Canis lupus familiaris: one gene and its partner. The protein of the gene in region 1 purifies or fractionates together with the protein of each later gene. This does not show direct contact. Links are inferred from orthologs where the notes say so. Each region holds a gene or a part of one and is shown on either strand. Other genes may lie near its edges. The genes, in order: MAF and USP5.

Region 1 (4,484 bases):
CGCGCGTCACGGCCCCCGAACAACTTATTTCCCCTCCTTCAAAGCGGGCGATGAAACGGGCTTCCTGGGCACCCCGCGCGGACCGCGACCCGGCCCGGGGCCCCCTGAGCGCCGCCCCGCCAGGCGGCTCCTGCGCCCAGCCGGGCCCCGCAGCTCCCCGCCCCGCAGCCCTGCGCCCCGGCGCGCGGGTCCCGGGGAGAGGGACAAAGAGTTTGCGCTCTTTGGGCTAAGTTTGAGCTCCCCGCACGGCTACGCTCCGGGAAGGCAGGTCCCCGTGGGCAGACTCCTGGGTGCCTAAGGCGGGGCGAGCAGGGAGAGCGGCCCCGCCAGTTCGCGGTCCAGGGGATGGGGGTGCCCGGGATGCGGAGCCGGGCGGGCCAAGCCCCGCAGAGCGAGCGGAGGCCAAGCCGGCGCCCCGAAGGCGGGCCTCCGTCGCGCTCCGAGGGGAGCACACCGGCCTCCCGGGGCCCCCGGGTCCCCGCGGCCCCGCCGCGCGCCTCCCTCCCCTCCCGCCGCAAACTTTGCGCCGGGGCTGCGCTCCCTCCCCGGGAGGCTGCGGCGCGGGAAGGGTTAAGGCCGCTCGTCCCAGCTGACAGTCAGCTGATTGGGCCCTGATTGACAGCTCCGAAAAGTTTCCTTGTTTCTATCTATTATGCTAATCGCGGCCGCTCTCGCCGCCTCCCATTGGCCCCGAGTACCAGTCAATTTCCCATTTGGGCCTGACGTCACAAGTGCTATAAAACTCAGCAATTGCTTTAAACTCTTCTTGCTTGGATCAGAGGCTTTAAAATCTTTTTTCATCTTCGAGCTGTGGCTCGGGCCGCTCTTCGGCTCGGCCTCCCCCCCTCCTTTCGCTCTCTGCCTCGCCTTTTTCCCCGGGACTTCGCTATTTTGCTTTTTTAAAAAAAAAAAAAAAAAAAAAAAAAAAAGGCAAGAAAGAACTAAACTCCCCCCTCCTTTTCCTCCAGCCGGGCTGCACCTCTGTCTTGCACTTTGCACGGAGAGAGCGCGCGAGGGGGAGAGAGAGAGAGAGAAAGACAGAGAGAGAGGAAAGGAAAAAAAAAATAAAAAGCAGGCAGAAGAGAAGGCGAGAAGCATGAAGTGTTAACTCCCCCGTGCCAAGGCCCGCGCCGCCGGACAGCCGCCCGCCGCGCCTCCAGCCCCGAGCGGCCGCCGCGCGCGCCCCGCCTGCAGCCCGGGCCGGCGAGGCGAGCCCTCCCTATGCACAGCGCGCAGCGGAGCGGCGAGCGGGGGACGCCGCGCACCCGGCCGGGCTCCTCCGGCTCCTCCGGCTTCGCCGCCGCCGCCGCCGCCGCCGCCGCCGCCGCCGCCGCCGCAGCCCGCGGAGGACCTTCCCGAGCCTGAAGCCGCCGGCTCGGCACGCACGGAGGCGAGCAGGCGAGGAGGGGCCGGGGCGAGCGAGCGAGCGAGCGAGCGAGCACATTGGCGTGAGCGGGGGGGAGGGAGGGCGGGCGCGGGGGGCGCGGGCAGGGCGGGGGGTGTGTGCGCGCTCGGAGGTCTCGGGCCAGCCACCGCCGCGCGAGCTAGAAGCGCCCCAGCCCGGCAAGCTGGCTCACCCGCTGGCCACCCAGCACAGCCCGCTGGCCCCTCTCCTGCAGCCCATCTGGCGGAGCGGCGGCGGCGGCGGCGGCGGCGGCAGGAGAATGGCATCGGAACTGGCAATGAGCAACTCCGACCTGCCCACCAGTCCCCTGGCCATGGAATATGTTAATGACTTCGATCTGATGAAGTTTGAAGTGAAAAAGGAGCCGGTGGAGACCGACCGCATCATCAGCCAGTGCGGCCGTCTCATCGCCGGGGGCTCGCTGTCGTCCACCCCCATGAGCACGCCGTGCAGCTCGGTGCCCCCTTCCCCCAGCTTCTCGGCGCCCAGCCCGGGCTCGGGCAGCGAGCAGAAGGCGCACCTGGAAGACTACTACTGGATGACCGGCTACCCGCAGCAGCTGAACCCCGAGGCGCTGGGCTTCAGCCCCGAGGACGCGGTCGAGGCGCTCATCAGCAGCAGCCACCCGCTCCAGGGCGGCTTCGATGGCTACGCGCGCGGGGCGCAGCAGCTGGCGTCGGCGGCCGGGGCCGGGGCCGGGGCCGGGGCCGGGGCCGGGGCCGGCGCCGGGGCCTCGCTGGGCGGCGGCGGCGAGGAGATGGGCCCCGCCGCCGCCGTGGTGTCCGCCGTGATCGCCGCGGCCGCCGCGCAGAGCGGCGCGGGCCCGCACTACCACCACCACCACCACCACCACGCCGCCGGCCACCACCACCACCCGACGGCCGGCGCGCCCGGCTCCGCGGGCAGCGCGTCCTCCTCGGCCGGGGGCGCGGGCGGAGGCGGCGGCGGCGGCGGCGGCGGCGGCGGCCCGGCCGGCTCCGGGGGCGGCGGCGGCGGCGGCGGCGGCGGCGGCGGCGGCGGGGGCGCGGCGGGGGCGGGGGGCGCCCTGCACCCGCACCACGCGGCCGGCGGCCTGCACTTCGACGACCGCTTCTCCGACGAGCAGCTGGTGACCATGTCGGTGCGCGAGCTGAACCGGCAGCTGCGCGGGGTGAGCAAGGAGGAGGTGATCCGGCTCAAGCAGAAGAGGCGGACCCTGAAAAACCGCGGCTATGCCCAGTCCTGCCGCTTCAAGAGGGTGCAGCAGAGACACGTCCTGGAGTCCGAGAAGAACCAGCTGCTGCAGCAGGTCGACCACCTCAAGCAGGAGATCTCCAGGCTGGTGCGCGAGAGGGACGCGTACAAGGAGAAGTACGAGAAGCTGGTGAGCAGCGGCTTCCGAGAAAACGGCTCCAGCAGCGACAACCCGTCCTCTCCCGAGTTTTTCATGTGAGTCTGACCCGCGGTCCCAGCTAGCCACCTTCCTGCGTGCTCCGCGGGGGTCCGACTCGGCTGTGGGCTTGCTAGTTCCAGAGCCGCGCTCGCCGCCACCTCGCCCCCCCGCCGAGGTCGCCCGCTGCCCCTGCACGCGCGCACGCACACGCACACACACACACACACACACACACACACACACACACACACACACGCCCTGCTCCCACTTGGCGGTGGTGGTGGCTGTTTTTAAATGGGGAGGGAGTGGATGTCTGGCTCATGGATTGCCAACCTGAAATTCTCCATAACTTGCTAGCTTGTTTTCATGCACCCCCCTACACACACACACACACACACACACGCACACACGCACACGACGTTCAGACATCTCAGCAGAGTTCTTCATGCTCACCTTTGAAACCTGCATCATTCACAGTGTTGTTTTCTCTCTCTCTCTCTCTCTCTCTCTCTCTTCTTCTTCTTCTTCTTCAGTTCATGAGCTGGTGTTCATTTTCCGTGTGTGTTTTACTTTGTTTGGATTTTTTTTTTTTTAATTTTACTTTTTGGAGCTTGCTGTGTTGTCCTTTTTCCCAACCTCCATCCTCACACCCTTTCCACTCATCTCCTCAGAGAGAAAAGAAAAGAAAAAAAAAAAAAAAGCTAAGGGTTTTTTTTTTTCCCCCTCCTCCTGAGTTCTTCATGTGAGATTGAGCTTGCAAAGGAAAAAAAAAATGTGAAATGTTATAGACTTGCAGCGCGCTGAGTTCCACCGGGTTTTTTTTTTTTAGCATTGTTATGCTAAACTAGAGAAAAAAAAATCCTCATGAACCTGCCACAATCAAGCCTGCATCAACCTTCTGGGTGTGACTTGTGAGTTTTGGCCTTATCATGCCAAATCTGAGAGTTTAGTCTGCCATTAAAAAACTCATTCTCATCTCATGCATTATTATGCTTGCTACTTTGTCTTAGCAACAATGAACTATAACTGTTTCAAAGACTTTATGGAAAAGAGACATTATATTAATAAAAAAAAAAGCCTGCATGCTGGACATGTATGGTATAATTATTTTTTTTCTTTTTTTTTTCCTTTTGGCTTGGAAATGGACGTTCGAAGACTTATGGCATGGCATTCATACTTTTGTTTTATTGCCTCATGACTTTTTTGAGTTCAGAACAAAAAAGTGCCACCCTAGAGCCTTCTTCCCATGAAAGTTTGCATCTGCTCCAAAACTGCTTTGAGTTACTCAGAACTTCAGCCTCCCATTGTAAATGCACTGAAGGCATTCCTTGTCAAAGATGCCAGAATGGGTTAAAAATTTAACATGGCAAACATTAAAAGAACTCTTAATGTTTTCTTTTTAATAAGAATGACACCCCATTTTGGGGACTAAAATTGTGCTGTTGCGGAAAGCAGTCTAAAACTTATTTTTTAAAAAAATGAAATCTGCCCCATTATTTTTGGTTTGTTTTATTTTTATTATTATTTTTTTTTTTTGGCTTTTGGTCATTGTCAAATGTGGAATGCTATGGGTTTCTAGTATATAATTTAATTCTAGTTTTTATAATCTGTTAGCCCAGTTAAAATGTATGCTACAGATAAAGGAATGTTATAGATAAATTTGAAAGAGTTAGGTCTGTTTAGCTGTAGATTTTTTAAAAGATTGAT
Region 2 (3,803 bases), on another chromosome or scaffold:
CCTGAAAGGCTAAATGACTTGCTAGGAGCCACATGGTGCTCGAGAACCGAGCTTTGTTTTGGAAACAGGCAGTGTCTGGCCCTGGGTCTTGGTTTCCCCACCTAGCCAGGCTTCATCCTCTGTCCCCACCTCTTGCGCTGCAGGAGTCTGAGGGTGGCCTCTACATCTGCATGAATACATTCCTGGGCTTTGGGAAACAGTATGTGGAGAGACATTTCAACAAGACGGGCCAGCGAGTCTACCTGCACCTCCGGAGGACCCGGCGCCCGGTAGGGACAGGGTGGGGGCAATGCCTGGGGACATTTGGGCACGTGCTACTGGGCCTCCATTTGGAATCTGTCTCATCCATTCTGACCTCCCGTTGGCCTCAGTTTCCCACCTATTTCTGTTTGTATCATTAGAACTCAGCACATGTGTGTTTTTGTTTTGTCTTGTTTTTAAGCTCCGTTCCCTTCCAAGATTAATCGACTCTGCCCTGTCCATCCTCCCCACTTGTCCCTTCCCTGGTACCCATTGCTGATCCTGTCCTTCCTGCCTCATTGTAGAAAGAGGAGGACACCACTACAGGCACTGGAGACCCCCCGCGTAAGAAGCCCACCCGGCTGGCTATTGGTGAGCACCATTAGAGTCCTCCTCCTCTTGAGCTGGTCTCTTTTGCTCTCAGAGGTGCTGGCAACCCCCAAAAGAATGGGCCTGATCAGTGGAGGGGACAAAATGAGATGCTGTATTAGAGGAGGGACATTTACTTGTGGTGATTGTCCTACCCTCTCTCTTCCCTGTTTCACCAGGTATGGAAGGCGGGTTTGACCTCAGTGAGGAGAAGTTTGAATATGATGAGGATGTGAAGATTGTCATTTTGCCGGATTACCTGGAGATTGCCCGGGATGGGTTGGGGGGCCTGCCTGACCTCGTCAGAGATCGGGTGCGAATACCTTCCCACCCTCCCAGGAGCTCTAGGGCAGGCAGGGGCCCAAGCAGTGATGTCTTGGGCAAGCCACTGAGAAAGCTGGAGATGGAGGGGCTGGAGGGGCGTGGGAGGGTGGCGGGCCAGGGACCGTCTCTGATCCTCTGCTTCCCCCAGGTGACCAGTGCGGTGGAGGCCCTACTGTCGGCTGACTCGGCCTCCCGCAAGCAGGAGGTACAGGCGTGGGATGGGGAAGTACGGCAGGTGTCTAAGCATGCCTTCAACCTCAAGCAGCTGGACAACCCTGCTCGAATCCCTCCCTGGTGAGGCCTGGCCCCTCCACCTTGGAGCACAATCCCCAGAGCAGGGGCAGAGAGGCCCCCCTCCTGGGGGATCTGGTGGGAGAGAGAGCCAGAGGGAGACTGGGGGAGATGAGCTCAGCAAAGGGACCTCCAGAGGAGAGAAGGAAGGAGCTCTTTGACTGGCAGGGGGCCAATCCCAGATACCCTTGACCCCTATTTCAGCTAACTTTCTTCTCCCTGGCTTAGTGGCTGGAAGTGTTCCAAGTGTGACATGAGAGAGAACTTGTGGCTCAACCTGACAGATGGCTCCATTCTTTGTGGCCGACGCTACTTCGATGGCAGTGGTGGCAACAACCATGCCGTAGAGCACTACAGGGAGACAGGCTACCCATTAGCTGTCAAGCTGGGCACCATCACACCCGACGGAGCTGGTACTCCCTCCCTCCTCTGGCTCCCTCTGCGCTGAAGTGTGCTTAACTGTTACTCATTGTATATGACACGAGTAACACATCAGTACGTTCTCTTGATTAACAATGAACATATTGCAGATAACACTAAATCTTCAGTTAGGCCCCCCAAATCCCAGTCCCTTTCTTAGAGATCACCAGCATTATGTGTTTAGTGAGTATCCTTCCAATCCCATCTGACCCTAGCACCTTATCCTACATGGTAGAGTCCCAGGAAACTCCAGCCCTCATGCTCAGTCATCCCTTCCCTGACAGCCAGTCTCAGAAAGGCTTGTGAGGATTACCTTTCTGGGATCCTCCTTCTGTCCCATCAATGCTCCCTTGGGGCAGGGAATGGAATTGGTCGGTGGCCAGGCCAGTCCAGAGCCACCTCTTCTGACCCTGCTTCTGCCTCCCACCCTAGATGTGTATTCATATGATGAGGATGACATGGTCCTGGACCCCAACCTGGCTGAGCACCTGTCCCACTTTGGCATCGACATGCTAAAGATGCAGAAGGTGAGGTCCCCCTTCAGCTTCCGATTCTCATCCCTGCCTGCCAGGGCCCTTCCTGGCCGGAGGCTGAAGTAGCCCATCCACAACAGCTGCCACAGTTATCCTAGTCCCCAGGGCATCTGTGCTTCCTTTAAAAAACTTTCTAGAATAATTTATTCATCCATTGAATGCTACTGGAGTACCTACTATGTGCCAGTCACTGTATGAATAAGAGAAATTTACATTCTAGATGGAAAGGCAGACATTCATTGTCTGCTCAGGCAAATGAGTGAATAACCACAAACCGGTGGGCGCTGTGAAAGAGATGTAGAGGGGCACCTGGGCGGCTTAGTCAATTAAAGGTCTGACTCTTGATCTCAGCTCAGGTCTTGATCTTAGGGTTGTGTGTTCCATCCCCATGTTGGGCTCCATGCTAGGTGTGGAGCCTACTCAAAAAAAAAAAGTGGGACACCTAGGCGGCTCAGCGTATGAGCATCTGCCTTTGGCTCAGGGCATGATCCTGAGGTTCTGGGATCGAGTCCCACATTGGGCTCCCCACAGGGAGCGTGCTTTTCCCTCTGCCTATGTCTCTGCTCTCTCTGTGTGTCTCATGAGTAAATAAATAAAATCTTTAAAAAAAGAGAGGGGTAGAGAGACAGAGAAGTAGTGTACAGCAGGAGGACTGGCTCATCGCGGGGATCAAGGAAGTGAAGCTTGAGGGGTAAGATGGGGTGACTTCAGAAGGAAAAAATACATCGAGTGGAAGGACTCACCTTCATTTCTTTCTTTCACCCAAGTGGAGGTCTGATGACTAACAGGTCTCAGGGACAGTCACTCATGGCCTTCCAGAGCTGGGACCAGGCTTAGCCAGCCAGTGTGTCTCCCACGTTAGAATCCATAATTGAACAGATTTGTAGCTTCAGCTGGGTGCCGTCCTGGGCCCTCTGAGGGATCAGTGTGAAAAAATATGGGGCTGAGCTTCTCACCCTGTCTGAAATGCACCTTCCCTTGCAGACGGATAAGACGATGACGGAGTTGGAGATAGATATGAACCAGCGCATTGGCGAATGGGAGCTGATCCAGGAGTCGGGTGTGCCTCTGAAGCCCCTATTTGGGCCTGGCTACACGGGCATCCGGAACCTGGGTAACAGCTGCTACCTCAACTCTGTGGTCCAGGTGCTCTTCAGCATCCCTGACTTCCAGAGGAAGTGAGTGGCACCCCCTCCCCATGCCTGGCCCTTAGGCCTTGTACCCCTGACCTTGCAGCTCTCCTAGATGCCAGCCTTTAGGCACACTCCTCCTTTGGCTACCGTCAGTACCTCCGTGTTGTAGCTCGGTCTTCATTCTTGTCACCCTGTGGCTGGTATGCTTCCATCAGTTAGAGCACCATGGTCACCTAGCCATGCAAGCCCCACCAAGAGCAGAACCCCGAATCCCAGCGTGCTCCCTGGCCTCCTGATTGACTCGGGGGAGGAGGTACTCTTTGCTTTTGACCAATGACAGCAGATGGGGACCAAACAAGGATATGTAGCACTTGGGGGGTGGGGGGAGAGCCTGGGACACTAGGAGAGACAAAAAGACACATTCTGAACAGAAGTAAGTCTGCCTTCTAACTGAGAAGGACTTAATACATGTGTGGAAACCTCATAGCATGTT

The links.
Region 2: the proteins of MAF (region 1) and USP5 purify together in Homo sapiens (affinity purification with western blotting; 3 studies listed by BioGRID, with this or other methods). This does not show direct contact. The link is inferred for Canis lupus familiaris from reciprocal best matches to the Homo sapiens genes MAF and USP5.

Annotation. Positions count from the first base shown.
Region 1 is NC_049226.1:72,522,956-72,527,439, forward strand, and holds the start of MAF (transcription factor Maf), read left to right. Parts: upstream 1-1,461; 5' UTR 1,462-1,664; coding exon 1,665-2,833; intron 2,834-4,484.
Region 2 is NC_049248.1:7,926,257-7,930,059, forward strand, and holds part of USP5 (ubiquitin carboxyl-terminal hydrolase 5), read left to right. Parts: intron 1-143; coding exon 144-269; intron 270-545; coding exon 546-612; intron 613-788; coding exon 789-922; intron 923-1,081; coding exon 1,082-1,227; intron 1,228-1,452; coding exon 1,453-1,637; intron 1,638-2,076; coding exon 2,077-2,171; intron 2,172-3,161; coding exon 3,162-3,355; intron 3,356-3,803. UniProt on the Homo sapiens protein: Deubiquitinating enzyme that participates in a wide range of cellular processes by specifically cleaving isopeptide bonds between ubiquitin and substrate proteins or ubiquitin itself.